Linked DNA regions of Rhinolophus ferrumequinum. The protein of the gene in region 2 interacts with the protein of the main gene of each other region in a pairwise test. Links are inferred from orthologs where the notes say so. Each region holds a gene or a part of one and is shown on either strand. Other genes may lie near its edges.

The links.
Region 1: the proteins of GTPBP3 (region 2) and PARP11 interact in binary tests that used the Homo sapiens proteins (3 or more experiments, as listed by UniProt). The two-hybrid records come from large-scale screens. The link is inferred for Rhinolophus ferrumequinum from reciprocal best matches to the Homo sapiens genes GTPBP3 and PARP11.

Annotation. Positions count from the first base shown.
Region 1 is NC_046293.1:86,965,474-86,973,759, reverse strand, and holds the start of PARP11 (protein mono-ADP-ribosyltransferase PARP11), read right to left. Parts: upstream 3,255-8,286; 5' UTR 3,069-3,254; intron 3,010-3,068; exon of another isoform or gene 2,886-3,009; intron 1-2,885. UniProt on the Homo sapiens protein: Mono-ADP-ribosyltransferase that mediates mono-ADP-ribosylation of target proteins. Plays a role in nuclear envelope stability and nuclear remodeling during spermiogenesis. Inhibits the type I interferon activated signaling pathway.
Region 2 is NC_046301.1:50,527,993-50,536,059, reverse strand, and holds the start of GTPBP3 (tRNA modification GTPase GTPBP3, mitochondrial), read right to left. Parts: upstream 3,175-8,067; 5' UTR 3,065-3,174; coding exon 3,012-3,064; intron 2,710-3,011; coding exon 2,462-2,709; intron 2,360-2,461; coding exon 2,273-2,359; intron 2,193-2,272; coding exon 1,990-2,192; intron 1,823-1,989; coding exon 1,750-1,822; intron 1,655-1,749; coding exon 1,511-1,654; intron 1,358-1,510; coding exon 1,192-1,357; intron 885-1,191; coding exon 606-884; intron 436-605; coding exon 210-435; 3' UTR 1-209. Other genes in the region: ANO8 (anoctamin-8), read left to right, coding at 5,437-5,542, 6,306-6,416, 6,547-6,679, 6,861-6,999, 7,077-7,173, 7,783-7,899, 7,977-8,067. UniProt on the Homo sapiens protein: GTPase component of the GTPBP3-MTO1 complex that catalyzes the 5-taurinomethyluridine (taum(5)U) modification at the 34th wobble position (U34) of mitochondrial tRNAs (mt-tRNAs), which plays a role in mt-tRNA decoding and mitochondrial translation.

The DNA.
Region 1 (8,286 bases), on a different chromosome or scaffold from region 2:
GTTGTAAACATCTGTGCGGCAAGCATTTCGCCACAAGCATTTCACAGCACAACTAATTGACAATAAGGCAATTTCTCCGTAAAAGATAAAAGAATGAAAAATTAAAGAGAAATATTAAAAAGTATACAATAAAACATGAAAAATTAATCACAAAATTAAAAAGACTTTATTGCAAAAAATGGAAATATATTGTCTTCGAAGTCTTGCGCTCATACATTTTTTGTTTGTGTGCTGATTTGTCTCCTCGTTCAGCACTGCACTTTTCTTTTTCACTAACTTCATTAAGAGAGGTATGAGTTTCTAACAAAAGAACAGATAATGCTAAGACTGCTGTGAATTAGTCATTACTTCTTTTATGTTTAATAGCTTGGTAAACTTGATTTTGATGGGTGGGAGGGATGACTGCTCACTGAAGGATTTGCAAAAACTGGCATGTGACCATTTTCTAGTATAGTATGCAATCTGGCCAAGATTTATGTAATATAAAAATGGGAGTACTGTGAGGACATTGTCAATGGAGAAACGAAACCAAACTGACAGCTGGCTTAAATACCTTAAGTCTGAAAGCAAGTGATTCATCAGTGGAGAAATGAAACCAAACTGTCAACCAGTTATTTAAATCTTTTATAGCGAAAATGCCTTACCGCCAATTAGTTGTGTGGTAAAAATGTTTGCTGTGAAAATGCTTGCAACAAAAACATTTCTGGCAAAGATGTTTACGGTGAAACTACCTAGAACCCAGCGTAGTATTTCCTCAAAACACTTGTGAGTGGAATACAGTATCATACAGAAGGTATATTTGCAACAGTAGGTATATTTGCAGATCTTAAGGACATGGATGCTAACAAAAAGATACAGGGAGAAACTAGGCAGAAGTCTTCAATTAAAACAGTTTACAATGACCTTCCTTCACAGAGAATTTATTCTCTCATTCAATGGAAAGAAATGATAAGCAATTACTTAAATTGGTGGGGAATCCAAAAGTCATCTGCATTTATCTTTAGGATCATTGTGGGGTTTTTTACATTTCACCAATGGTGTCTGGTTTACAGAAAGATTAAAATTAATTTTCATTCTATGAGCATAGCTGGACAGACTATCCAGATGCCCCTTCTATGAAAAGAAACTAACAAATGACTTTGAGATATCCACATGCAGAATGTTGACTGTAATTTTAAAAACTAAACTGTCTTTATTGACAGCATTCATATGTTCATAGAAAGAAAAACAGTATTAGTAAGTAAATAAGGTAGCATTAAGACATTAGGGTGGTATAAGGGTTAAAAGAAATGGGATTATATGTGGAAGGTTCACCACTGTTAATAAAAGCCAGTATACTCTACTGAAATCAAGGAAAATCGTTAGATTTCAGAGAAAACAGCATTTCTTACAAAGAAATGAGGTAATGATATAATAAACCAAATATGAGAAATTCACTAATCCTTTATAATCCTCACAAACACACAAATGATCCAATAACAAATGCTGATGTGTAAGTGATGGAAGAGGGAGACTCAACAGTGGGAGCAAAGGACTCTCTCTAGTACTAATTCAATCACCTTTGTTAATGCAACAAATATTTACAGAGGGCCTACTAGCTGTGCCAGGTCCGCTCTCTAGTCTGAGGATACCATAGTAAACAAAAAGACAAAAACCCCTGCCGATTATGGAGCTTAGAATATAGTCAAGGATTTAAAACATGTAACTGAGCAAGACATGTATTTGGGTGACTAAAAGGTTTGTTATGGAGAAACTAAGACGAGAAAGACTGCCACTGCCAATACAAAGTGCGAGCGCACACACACACACACACACACACACACACACCAAAATGAAGATTGTTGATGACAAATAGTGAAAGTACATATATAAGCAGAAAGCACATTCTCATAATTCTAAATTATGTTGGCTAAAATCAAATACTAGCAACTACTTTCCTCTGATGTGGCCTGGTATTAGAGGATTATAGGTATGAACAAAAAATAAATAAATGAATAAATAAATCTTAGATGATGACCACTGTTAGGTGATGTACTGAGATGAAACCACAATGGGCAACCAACGAATGCACACCAACACACTAGTTTCTGTTGGATAAAAACTAACAGAATTAACTGACAAACTCTCTAATTTATCTGGAAATATATTCCAGACATGGAAGAAGTACTGATTACATCAAAGGAGTTTTTGCAAGTATGCAAACAGAATTATAAAATAAATTTAGGCAGATCTCTCAGCATATCGGGTAGTTCCACATATTTAGTCCAACAATTTGCTGAAATGTGGTTCTGCCACTTTTCCAGTCAACTCATAAGGCGTAAATAGTGTACAGTTACCATGTTACTAAGCGATGTCAACTCTACCAAGAGATTATTGGAATAGTCTTGGCAAACATATTCCACTCTTTGAGGGCTGCACATTAAATAAATAAATGTATAACAACAAAACAGACAAAAAATACACGTAGGCACAATGCATATACCGGAATCAAACAAGAAGGAGGGAGACAAGACTTGCAGTTGAAATGTTCCAGGTCATCAGTTCTGTCCACTGAAAAAGAAACATCTAAGAACTTCACCATCTAGAAGCTTAGAACAAACACTCGGTCCCCCAAGTTTTACATGGCTGTCCACCAAGAGGGGAAAAGGAGTACTGACGGTTCCTCCGAGGCCCATTCAAGGCACGGGGGTCCGATCCCCTAGCTTTAGATGGGTGGGACTGGCAGGTACACCTAAGGCAAAGGAGTAACAGGTCCGAAGCCCAGTAACTCCAATTAGAAAACAAAACACAAAGTTTAAAAAGGTGAAGGGAGGGAGGCGGAGAAACCAAAGCAAGCAAAATAAATAACTAATAATAGGACAACAATCCAGCGTCGGAGAACCCACCGAGCCATCTCCACCATTCAAACAGGCAGAGGCCAGGAGAAGCCGCAAGGGCCGGGGTCCTCGAGCCCGGAATTCAACATCCAGCCTGAAGCGGGTGAGGGGGGAGCAGGGCCGGGGAACCCCCTCCCGCCCCTCCCATCAACCCCGCCCATTGGGTCCGCCCCGTCCCGCCCGGCTACTCACCGGATTCGCTTCCCACATAACGGTGGCGAAATCGAGCGGAGAGAGCCTAGGGGAAGGGGCTAGCCGCGGGGCCGGGGTGTTGGGGTTTGTTCCGAGGGTGCCCGGGAGCGAAGTGATGGAGAGGAACCTTTACGCAGGCCTTCCTTCTCCCCCTCTGTCACAAGCCAGCGTCTGCGGACCACCTAACCTCCGACTTCCGCCCGAAGCCGGCCAACCAGCGCCGGCCCCGCCCCGCCCCCGGAAACTCGCCCCGCCCCCTGCCCGTTTCCGGGCTCCGCCGGCCGGACGGAAAGCCCCGGGCGTGCGAGTGTCTGGGTTGTAAAGGGGTTTAAAGGGCTTCTAGTGCAACCAGCCTTCTAGCGCTAAATCCCCACCGCAATCTCCCACCCAGGGATCCTCGAGCCACAGTTGGTTAGATTTCCTTCAATGTTGATTGATTACCGTACAATGTGTGTAAGGGGCCACGAGGCAGACAGGCCTGGGAATTGATCCCAACGCAACCAGTGGCATTTGGGATAAGCTTCACAATCTCACTCTCAGTTTCCTCATCTTCAGAATGGAGATGATAATGCTATCTACCTAGGGGTGTAATGACACCTTTTAAAGCACTTAGCACAGTATTCAGCATTTAGTAAACGCTCGGTAAGTGACAGTTATTTGCCAGACACTGCTAGGCTCTGGCTGGAGTGAACAAGACTGATCCGTATGTAGTCCGTGCCCTCATTCATGGAGCTTAGAGTCCAAAGGAAAAAACAAAAAGTAAGTAATTTAGATCAATAAAAAGGTGCAGTATGGTTTATGGGTACTATGGCAAGTACACAGGGTTCCATGAGAGCGTGCTCACCTAGGATAGGGGTCCGCGGCCCCCCCCCCCCACCTTTCTCCCTAAGAAGTTTAAGCTAAGACCTCAAGGATGTACTCCTTTCGAAGTTACCTGGGTAAAGAGAGCTAAGAGAGGGGATGAATCTTCTAGGCAAAGAAGTAGAATCTACCCATGGGAAATGAAAAACCGTTTGCTACAGATCCTTCTGGGCTTTTCTATACCTTCACACATCAAAACAAAAATTGATCAATGACTACCTACAGATTTAAAACCTGATATTTTCACTTAATATGTGTGGATTTTCTTTATTCCATACATATATGAGTAAATCTATTTCATCATTTTAAAGTCATCATTTTACAGTCTCATGGCATTCCATGGTTTGTATGTATGTTACACATTTGAAATAATCCATTGTGATAGACATTTAAGTGTTTTTCAATTTTCTACTATTCCAAAAAAAAGCAATATTCTTTTTTTTTTTTTTTAGGTTTTTAAAATAACGTTTATTTTTTAAAAGTTAACATATGCATATAATAGGAAACTAGAAAACACAAGAAGCAAAGTACAAGGTCATCCATAATCACAAGCAGGTTACAGTTTGGCATGTCTTTCTAGGTCCCCTGTGTGTATTTATACAACAAAGCGTCCATTATTAAGTAATTAAGATCACACAGTTATGTATCAAGCCTTTTTACACATCATGAATATTTACCATTTCAAAGTCCCAAAGCTATACGAGTATTCTGATAACCAAGAATATACTACACCAACTAAATCTGGAAGAGGAAAAAAAAAAATGTAATCCTGCCTTTCTTGGCAACAAAACTTTCATAAAGGACAAAAATGGCAACAGGCCTCTACTTAAAGATACTGGCAGAGTTACAATTAAAATACTGCATTCCTTTAACGTTCAATTAAAAATGAGGCATAAAGCAACAGAGTATAAAAAGTATAATGCTTCTAAGAGAATTCATTATGATCTATACTTTTAAAATAGTAGCAAGGAGGCAAGTTTCCACTGAAATACTTAACAATGTATTCCTAGAGTCCAGCTAAAAGAGATGCACACACATTAGTGGTTATCATTACAATGTAAATATGAGCACATCCACACACTTCCCTCCCTCTATCCTTCCTTCTGCCCCTCTGCCACCAACCTAATGAACAAGTCCTGACGTGCATCTCTCAGATATGGTTTAACAGTTTCACGTGCAAGATGCCTCTTTCTTATCAATTATAACAAAAAGATATTTACAAATTGGTTAATTTAGTAGCTCTACTTTGTATCTTAGTCATCTTAGGACATCTTGAAAACCTCAGATGTTGCAAAATAAGGAATGAACCTTGTCCACAGTAAACGTAGGTACTAGAATTAAATATATATACTTATAGTCACACGATGAGCACAGGATAGGGAATAGAGTCAATGGAATTGTAGCAGCTTTATACGATGTGAGAGGGTGCATAGATTGGGGGAGGAGAGTTATCACTTTGTGAGGGGTGTAAATGTCTATTACACCTGAAACTAATAAAAAATAAAAAATAAACGTAGGTACTTTCCAAAATGCACGTAGGTACTTTACCAAAATATAGACTTATGGTTATAACTTAAAACTATCTTCTAGATATGGATATACTAGCAAAGAGCCCTTCCCTTCACCTTTCCTTTTTTCTTTCCTCCACCATTTCTATGATAAACATTCTTGTACTAACATTTCTGTACATTTGTCCATTTACCTCCTTAGAATTAGTTCTAAGAAATGGAATTGTTCAATGAGAGATTATGGAAATTTCAATTTTTGATATATATTGCCAAACTACACTAAAAAATAATGTGTAAATTTGCAATCTCTATTCTTATACATGGTTGAGATAGGGATCTTCACTTTACTTTTTTTCACTTTATTTTTTGCTAAATGATTAGCCAGTTGCACCAATATCACTTAACGAATAATCTATTCTTTTCCCACTACCTTAAAGTGCCACACTAATCAAAAACTAAATTTATGTGTGTGCATCTGTTTCTGAACATTCTTGTCTATTCTATTAGCTTTCTGCTTATTCCTATGCTATGCCACACTTATAATTACTATAGCTTTGTAACACATTTGCTCTCTTGTAAAGCAAGTCCTCTCCCAATTCCCTTTCAAATTTTTCAAAATCATGAATTGTCTTATTCAGGAACGCATCTCTTCATGTCTTTTATATCCATATATATATATATATATATATATATATATATATATATATATACATATATTCACATAGATTTGCATAATTCTTGGGAAGTTTGTTCCTAGATATTTTATAGTTTTTGTTGTTATTGTGAATGAGATACTTTTCATTGCTCTAAGTTAGGAAAACTGTTGGTTTTTGTGTCTTTAACTTACATCCTACTACACTGTAAAACTATATTATTAGTTCTAATAGCTTGTTAGCTGATGATGTCTCTGAATTTTTATGTTGACAATCATATCACCTACAGAAAATGCAGTTTTTTTATCTTCCTATTGCATTCCTCAGAACATTTTTGAAGAATACAGAACAAGATAATGAGCATTCAGTCTTGACTGCAGTAAGACAAACGTTTGCCCTTAGTTGGTGCTAGATGTTCTTTAAATACACAATCGTCTTTAAAGAAATTTCCTTTCATTCCTAGTTTACTGTGAGCTTTTAGTTAGAAAAGGATGTTAAATTTTATCAACTGTCTCGTAAACTCTGTTACTATATTCAGTTTTTACTCTGACTTTTAATATAATGAAATATAGTAGTAGATTTCCTAATGTTCAAGCTATGCGTACATTCTTGAAATAAACTCTGCTTCATCATGTATTCATTATTCTCTGAATACACTACTGGGTTCAATTCATTAATTTTTTTTTCAATTCATTAATTTTTTAATTACGATTAAAATTTATTTATAATTAATGAAATTGCTCCATTGTTAATGATGATTTTTTTATTATTGTCTTTAGCAAGTTTGGTTAATGAACAATAGCAATTTAAGTAATTTAGGAATTAGCTCTTCATCAAAGGTGGAGTGGACTTCTAAAAGCAAATGCAACTGAAAAGATTAGGACCAGCTCCTCAACCTTTTGTGAGGTTGGACTGTACTTCATTTCCTTGAAGCCTTGAGTTGCCTAAGCTGGAGGTCAGAGAATGGGATGGAGCGAACACAACTGCTTTAGATATACAGGGTCTGACAATTAAGTTTGAGAACTTGTTGCAACGATGTTGCTAACCTTTTTTGATATCAGAGGGATTATTCATTATAAATTTGTAACAACTGGACAAACAGTTAACCAAGTTTACTGTTTGAAAGTGCTGAAAAGCCTGCATGAAAACGTTAGACGACCTGAACTTTTCACCAACAGTTCATGGCTCTTACATCACGACAATGCACCAGCTCAAATGGCATTATCTGCAAGGGAATTTTTAGCCAGTAAACAAATAACTGTATTGGAACACCCTCCCTACTCACCTGATCTGGCCCCAATGACTTCTTTCTTTACCCGAAGATAAAGGAAATTTTGAAAGGAAGACAGCTCTGATGGCCATTCCAGAAAATGAGTTCCAAAATTGCTTTGAAGTGTGTACTAGGCACTGGCGTCGATGCTTCCCAAGGGGAGTACTTTAAAGGTGACCGTAGTGATATTTAACAATGAGGTATGGAGCACTTTTTCCAGGATGAGGTCGCAAACTTAATTGTCAGACCTCGTATATCAGATGGATAAGCTTTTGAAATATACCGCCATATCCCAAAGTAATATGGAGGAAGCATATTTCATAAACTGAAAATAGCTGTGCAAACTTTAGTAATAAGTTTTCTCTTATTACACTTAATTTATAACCACTTAGAGAGCAAGTATGGAAAACAAGCTTAATGATCATTTAGTCTTGGGGTGGCAAACTGATAGCTAGTGAGCTTTAGCATACAGAGTATTTAAAATTTTTAATAAATGAGCCACATTTTAAAACTGGGAAATTTCACATTAAATAATGTGGATTTCCAGCTTCCCTTCAACACTGTATTCGTATATGCCGACAAGTGGCCTAATCCTGCTGTCCCATTTAGGCTGGGAATGGGCTGTCAGATTTACCTGAGCTACCAGGTCACTATCTCCGCCTCATGTAAATAAACTACCTGGGTTCTGGTGGTATGTGTGTTCGTACAAAATATAATCCACCTTTTATTTTGCTGAGGAAATGTAATGGATCTAGGGCTTCTAAAATATCCTTATAGAACACGCCTTCACTCTCCCATACCTTTTTCAAGGGTGGGCTCAACCACTGGGGCTCAACATCTCACAGTCTTTCAATAGGTTACTCTCTGCATGCAATGCTTGAAACTTTGTTACACAGCCTGGCACTGGAATGCTTCCCCCTCCATCA
Region 2 (8,067 bases):
CAGCCCCCCTCGAGGGCCTGAACTTCCAGCAAGTCCCTGCAAGGCAATCTGTCCAGCTAGAGCTTGGTCACCACCAGCAGCAGGGAGTTCACTCACTTTGGGGTCAAGTTCTTCCCAGGGGATAAGAATCTCACTTGGCCTAAGCTGCTCCTGGATGCCTCCAGGCTTCTGGGCACCCACCCAGCCTGGTCTGAGCTTCAGCAGTCCCCTCACTTGCCCACACAGAAGTCCCGGAAGATAATGTCCAGGATCTCCTCGGTGCCCCCTCCACTGGTGAGGTGGGCCAGGTGCCCCCGGGCGACCCGCAGTGCCTCGGCCGCCAGGGATACATCTTTAGCTTGCTTGTAATGGCCGAGAGCATCCAGGCAGCCCTGGAGGTGATGCTGGTGCCTTGCCCGCGTCAGAAGTGGTGGGCCTGTGGACGGATCTCCACAACTGGAAATGACAAAGAACATGGTCTCTCTTAACCTTTGCACCACCACTCAGAGGATGATCATACCCATTCTGCAGATATCGAAACTGAGCCTGTGGGCAAGTATGTGCCCAGAGCCAGGGACTCAGCCCTCACTTGAACCTGGGTAGAGGGAGGTTGTGGGGTGGCTCACACTGCAGCCAGCTCCTTCCGCAGCGCCTCCAGGAGGTCGTCCAGCCCTTCCCCCGTCAGGCAGGACAGCAGCAGGTGAGGGGGCAGGTCAGGACTTGGGTATGGGCCCCCAGGGGGCAGCAGGTCTGACTTGTTTAGCACCAACACGAGACGTTGGCTGTTTCCATCGGGGCTCCGGCCTGCCGCGGGGTTGACAACCACGTCCAGGAAGTTGCAGCTGGACGGAGAGGCTAGGTCAGAGGCGTCCAGCACTGCAAGGATGACGTCAGCCTGCTCCAGCCTGGGGGAGCAGGGAGAACCAACTGAGCAGTGACCCCAGAGTACAGCAATTAAGGGCACTGGGCAGAATGGAGAGCCAGGCAAGCAGAGCGCTGGGGGCAGAGCACTGCGTGAGGGGCGGGGCAGAGCGTGAGAGGTGGGGCAGAAAATGTGGGCAGAGGCCAAAATCTAAGGGCTGGCCTACCCAAATCATGGAGTCCCCACTCAATCTTCTGATTCAGAAAGAAAGAAAAACAAATGCAACAGGGAGAAAGGGAGAGGAAGGCCCCACTCATTTCCTCCTCCCACCACCCACCCACTTCACCCACCTCTCGCGGGCACGCCGCACACCCTCCTGCTCCACTAGCCCCGTGCCCTCCCGCAACCCTGCCGTGTCGCTCAGGAGTGCCGGGAACCCGGCCAGGTCCACAGGGGTCTCCAACACATCTCGGGTGGTCCCTGGCTCTGGGGACACGATGGACACAGGCTTCCGGCCTGAAAATGGGGAGGAGGTCAGTAAAGGGGAGGGAGCACCTCCCCCAAGCTCATGCCCCTGGCTGAACAGAGCTTTCTAACTCCCTAACCCCTTCCCCACATCTGACTAGCTCAGTTCCACCGGCCCCTGCTCCAGCCCCACCTCCCACGCACTGAGCAGGTTCACTAGGCTGCTCTTGCCGGCGTTGGGGGGTCCCGCGACCACCACGTGAGCCCCTGAGCGGAGCCTCTGCCCACGCCTGGCATCTCGAAGATGTGCGCCCAGTGCCACCTCCAGCTCCCGCACTTGGCTGTCAGCTGTGGATGGAGGAAAGCAGAGGGGAGCGAGTGAGGGGTCTCCTGGGGGCTGAGATGCCAGATGTCCCCACGCCTCCACCCCCAGGTGGACCCACCTCGTTCCAGGACGCCCTCCTCCAGGTCGTCATCCTCCCCAAAGTCGATATAGGCCTCCACATGGGCCAGAGCCTAGGGGAGGGGTGGTAGGGACTGTCATCACCTAGGAACCCAGCCCCCCAATTTGCCCAGGTCCAACCCCACCTAAGGGTCTGATTGGAGGTTCACAGACCAGCTTTCACACAGGGGATGGACAGGTTGGGGTCTCTGAGACAGAGACTGTGCAAATGGAGACTTGCCTTAGTGAGGGTGTCCGCCCAGCCCCGGCAGAGGTGACCCAGTTCCCCGTCCAGCTGCCTCAGGGCCTGCCGCCGCTGTGCCTCAGTTTCCGCATGGATCAGATCTGCCAGCCCCTCCACTTCAGTCAGGCTCAGCTTCCCGTGGGCGAAGGCCCGCCTGGTGAACTCTCCTGCCTCCGCTGGCCGCAGCCCTGGCACCCTGCCTGGGGGACGGTCCCAAGTACTGAGCACCTGGCCCCCACGCAGGCCCCCGGTAGACTCTAACTCAAGGCTGCAGACTCACCCAGGGCCTGCAGGACGCCACTCACCACCGCCGGGCCTCCATGCACGTGGAACTCCGCGCAGTCCTCACCCGTGAAACTCTGGGGACCTGATGTGGCGAGGAGTCAAGAGGGCATAGTCTGAGCAAACGCTTGGGAGGGTCAACTGAGTCATGGGAGCTACAGGAGGTTCAGGACCTGGAGCCCCTCACCTGGGAACCACAGCACTAGCGCGCGGTCCAACGGCTCCCCGGAGCGGGGGTCGCTGAGTAGGCGCAGGCAGGCCCTGCGAGCCTGGGGCAAGTCCCGGGGCGCCGTGAGGCTTCGGAGGGCGTGGCCGCTGGCGGGGCCGCTGGTCCGAATCACAGCGATGCCGCAGCGGCCTTGGCCGGAACTCAGCGCGAAAATGGTGGCCCCGGATCCGGGGACCGGAGTGCGGCTGCCCTGGCGCGTGCACGGTCTGAGACAGGAGAGGAGAGTCAGTGCGTCTGGCTCTGCTGCAGAGTGGCAGGTGGATAGAGGGTTCGATGGTCGAGAAATGACCCCAACTGGAGGCCCTGAGGCCAGAGGGTGACTGGATTGAGGACTGAGGCCAGATAACCTATATGTGGGTTCTGAGGCGGGGGGAATGAAGAGATTGGGGCTTGCAAGAACTAGAAAGGTGGCCTTGCCGCAGGGAACTAGGCCCCCAGGTCCCAGAGAGAGGATTTGGGGCCCAAGAAGCGCCCCACGCTGTCACAGCCCTTTCCCGGGTCACCCCACCTGAGAGGCCCACGAGCCGCCCGGGCTACCAGGGTCAAGAGCCCCCGCCACATGGGTTCCCCGCCAGCCGCTCGCCCGCGCACTCTTCCTGGGAGGCTTCAGTCCAGGCAGGAGGCCCCGCCTACTCCGCAGCGTGACTGGCAAGGTGCTCAACGATTCTCGACTACCATTGGGCCCCCAAAAGACGTACCGCCCACCCACTGAAGATCTTCGTTTCTATTGGCTGTGTCCAGGGACAGAGGCGGGGGTCGGGCTGCGCTCGGGGAAGCCCCGAAATAGCGTTCCCCCTGGCAACATGAGGCCGAATTTTTAGGATCCTAGAGCTGTCGGGATCCGAGATACCGGAAACGAAGAGCAGAAGGAATACAGGCACTGGGCGGTGGGAATTACAGTGAGGCGAGAGTTCTCTGAGCTAGTCATCCGTAGCCTTACGCGAAGCAAAAGCATCTCAGTGGCTCAGAGGGATGAGTTCCGGAGAACCCACACAGTGGCGCTGGGAAAATCTTGTCCAAACTTCTGGGAAGACGCCTTCTTGTTTTCCCGGAACAGTCCAGGTTTCCGCCCCTCACCAGCTTTCCCTTCCGCCGTTTCCTCGGCCTCGAATACCCTTCCTCACTTCACAAACTCGTCCTCAGGGCCAGCTCAAGGTCCCCTCCGCCAGAAACCCTTCCTGGAACCCTCAGCACAGCCCTCTCTTCCCTCTGTGCCTCCCTGGCCTAGGTCTGCACCTGCAAAGCTGAATGTCGTCTGTCTCTGCCCCCCCCCCAAAAAAAAGGGGAGTCTAGGACATTACTTTCAGGGTAACCCAGGAGAGCGCTGGATCTAGGCGTAATAAAGCGTTGAGGGTGGAATTCCTGGCACTGTCTGGGCGGGGTCTCAGGGGCGCTTTCGCATGGCCAATTCTCTGGTTCTTGGACGGAGCGGGCGGGCGGCTCACTTGCACTTTGGGAAGAATCTGTTGGACGGGCTAGAGTTCTAATTCCCCCCACAGCGCTGCTCTGCTCAACTTTTACATTTGTAGAACAGGGCGGAACAATGACATTCGCCGTCTCCGAGTTGCTCCATTTGTCACAAGTATACATCAAGCGCCTACTGTTTGCATTCTGAGAACCAGACCGGGCCCCTGCCCTGGCTGGGCTCTAACGGAGGAGACGTCTCAGGATGCGCAGGTCTTCAAGTTACACCCAAAAGACGGGATGCCCAGTCAAATGTGAATTTCGAATAAACAGAGAATAACGTTGGGTCCCATATAATATTTGGAACATACTAAAAATTTCTTCGTTTATCTGAAATTCATATTTGTAAAAAATAATATAAACGGAGCCACTTTAAAATGGAGCCAGAGCTGCCATCTCCAAAGAACTGCCTGTACGTCTTAAGCCTCAAATCTTTGGGATGTTAAAACAGGGTAAAACAACCTTTAGATTGGGCTTAAGCAAACTTGTTTCCCAAAGAAATGTTTGCACAGGTAACAAGAAAGCAGATATTATGACCATTGGACTGCAAATTTAAGACATTGTTTAGAATTAACATCAGTATGTTACCTGCACCAATAGAAATGCCTTCCTTCTGTCGATGTAATTGTGCCCCTTCCCTTTCTTATAAATACCCATTGCCTTTATTTCCTAATTGAAACATTATTTGGGCTTCTGCTCTAATCAGTCCATCCCGAATAGCTGTTTTTATTGATCTTAAATAAACACTTTTTCTCACTTTGAAAGGACTTTTATTTTTAGGTTAACATATCTAATTGGGAGGACTGTATTTTTATTTGCTAAATTGGCAACTCTATCTGGTCCTCTTTGAGGTTACATCCTGAAGAATGCCAGGTTGAACTGGACAAAGGGGGTGAAGGGTGTCCTTGGCAATGTCCTAGAGCATATGCTAAAGCCCTGACGCAGAACCTGCTATAATTATTCACATTCCAGCTGTGGTGGTTAAAGTCATCGTCACCCGGAATCTTCCCAGACCAGGCCTTCCCCACTCACATCCAGTTGTAATCAAATCACACCCATCTCAAATCCCAAATGCACCTTTTCAGAGAGGAAACTCAGGCGGGGAATCCGGGGCGCGCGGGTACGAGACCCAGAATTCGGCGCGGGCAGGCACAACCCGGGTGCACCTTCGGTGCGGGCGGGAACGAGCACCAGAAACCGATGTGGGCGGGCGAGAACGAAACCCAGAAAACAACGCGGGCGGAGTCGAGAACCCTAGAGCGACGTGCGCAGGGCCCAGCTGGAGACTCGAGGTTCGGCGCGCGCGGGGACGAGAAGCAGCGCTCGGGCACGCGGGGACGGCGGCCCGCGCGGGCGGGTGCGGCCTTTGTCTACTCCTACCGCGCGCTCCGCGGCTGCACCCGCCCCATGCTCCCGCGGTCCCTCCGCGCCCCCGCCGCCCGCTGCCCCTGACCTGCCCTGCCCTCGCCATGGCCGAAGCCGCCTCTGGCTCCGGGGGCACGTCCCTGGAGGGCGAGCGCGGCAAGAGGCCCCCGCCAGAGGGCGAGCCGGCAGCCCCGGCGTCCGGAGTTCTGGGTAGGTGTGCGGCGGCTGGATCTGTCAGGGTTGCAGGTGCCTGGGGTGCTCGCGGCGGCTAAACGAGAAGGGATATTGGGGTCAGCTGTCCCCGTCCTGGAGTCCAGTGGAGGGGCAGGCTCCTCCCGACACTGCGGCTGCGACCGTGCGAGCGCGGGCGGGAGGGTGCAGCGGGGGTTGGGGGTCCCAGAGCAGAGACACGGACACGCCCCTCCGAGAACCCAGGCTCTTAGATGAGCCGCGTCACCCCTTAGGCTACCGGATCGCGTCCGGGCAGGGGTGCGCTTGAGAGTTCCTCTCCGCAGAGGGTACAGAATCATACAGTCCTGGGTTCGAATCCCAGCTTGGCTGTGTGACCTTGGGCGCATTACTTAAATGCTTTGGGCTTCTGTTTCCCCATCTGTGAAATGGGGGTAAAAACCGCACCCAGCTGTGAGGATGCGCTGACATACTGTGGTGAAGTGCTCAGGGTTGCGAGTGAGCGCCCCATCCATTGTGGTTTTGGAGGCGGAGCTGGGCCTCAAGAATGAGTAAGATTTGTAAGTGAGGGCCTGGGGGAAGGGCATTTCAGAAGGAGGGCCCTCTGGTGCAAGGACGTGAAGGGAAGGAAACAAGCCAAGGCTAGAGCTCACAGGGCCTTGAATGCCAGGCTGAGTGCTCAGGAGCCCTGGTGAGTTTGTGAGCAGGGGCAAGGGCTGGAGGCCAGGCTCTCTCCGTTCCCTCTGGGAGTGGCCTGACCCCAGGTGTCCCGCCTGCCCCCCAGATAAGCTTTTTGGAAAGCGGCTCCTGCAAGCTGGTCGATACCTGGTGTCCCACAAAGCGTGGATGAAGACTGTGCCCACGGAGAACTGCGACGTGCTGATGACCTTCCCAGGTACCTGTGCCCACCCGCCCAGTGCCCAGACAGGGCTCCCCTGAGCTGGGCTCCCCTGAGTGGGAGTCTGTCTGTAGGAGGCCTCGGACCCTCCGTGACAAGAGCCATCAGTCCCTGTGCCCCTTGGCAGACACAACGGATGACCACACGCTGCTATGGCTGCTGAACCACATCCGCGTGGGCATCCCCGAGCTCATTGTGCAAGTCCGCCACCACCGCCACACGCGTGCCTATGCCTTCTTCGTTACCGCCACGTATGAGAGGTAAGTTCCTGTCCCTGGCCTCTCTCTGAGCCTGCCGCCCAGCTCCCCACCCTTCCAAGCGCCAGCTACGAGGTCCAGCCGCTCTGTGTTTCTCCCAGGCGGCCGCCAGTTGCACTATCCCTAGCTCCAGGATGGAGAGCCAGGGTCTCCCCGTGATCCCACCTCCCCTGCCCTCCCGCAGCCTACTCCGAGGGGCCGACGAGCTGGGTCTGCGCAAAGCAGTGAAGGCTGAGTTTGGCGGGGGTACCCGCGGCTTCTCCTGCGAGGAGGACTTCATCTATGAAAATGTGGAGAGTGAGCTGCGCTTCTTCACCTCCCAGGTGCGCCAGCTCAGCCCCAGTACATACTCCTAACACCCAGGCGGCTACTTGCTATACTCACGCCCTGTCCCCTGCAGGAGCGCCAGAGCATCATCCGCTTCTGGCTTCAGAATCTGCGTGCCAAGCAGGGTGAGGCGCTGCACAACGTGCGCTTTCTGGAGGACCAGCCAATTAGTGAGTGAGGTGGACTAATTCTCCAATCACATGTTGGGAGTTGGGCCTAGATCCAACCAATCAGGGGCTAGTGAAGAGTTGGGCGGGGCCTGGACCCAGAGCAATGAACGAATGGGCGTGGCCTTAGCAAAGGGTAGGGCTTATTCCCCAGGAGCCAGATCCAAGAGAACCTTTTCTGGGTCTGGGATAAGGAAGGGGCAGGACCATGGACAGCACTCCATGTATATTGTGCTTGGCGGCCCTAAGCCTCAGTTTCCCCTCCAGGAAACCAGCGTCTGCAAGTTCATCTTCTGACAGCAAATTTGTACCATTCCTCAGACATTCAGAGCAATGAACTGAGGCCAATGGCTTTACTTAAAAACATGGTTCCCTACTGGGACCCCACCCTGCTAGGTTTCTTGCACCCTTCCCTGCCTGTACCTGTGCCTACACCTCTTAAATTCTGAAGGAGAACCAGATATTCCATCCACCCAGAACTCGTTCCCTGGGAAGATCTTTTGCAGGTTTAAGAGCAGACAAAAAGTTGTGACTTGGGTTTCAGCCAAGGCGGTCTGGCCAGGCCAGGCACAGGCAGAGGGGAGGGGGTTACCCATTCTTGTCCCCCAACAGTCCCTGAGCTGGCGGCCCGTGGGATTATCCAGCAAGTGTTCCCGGTCCACGAGCAGCGCATCTTGAACCGCCTCATGAAGTCATGGGTGCAGGCTGTGTGTGAAAACCAGCCTCTAGGTGCGGCCTGGGCCAGGGGTGGGTAGGGATCCCAGGAGGCAGGCAGAGCTGACCAGGAACCCCTGTCCCCCTGGCAGATGAAATCTGTGACTACTTTGGTGTGAAGATTGCCATGTACTTTGCCTGGCTGGGCTTCTACACATCGGCAATGGTGTACCCAGCTGTCTT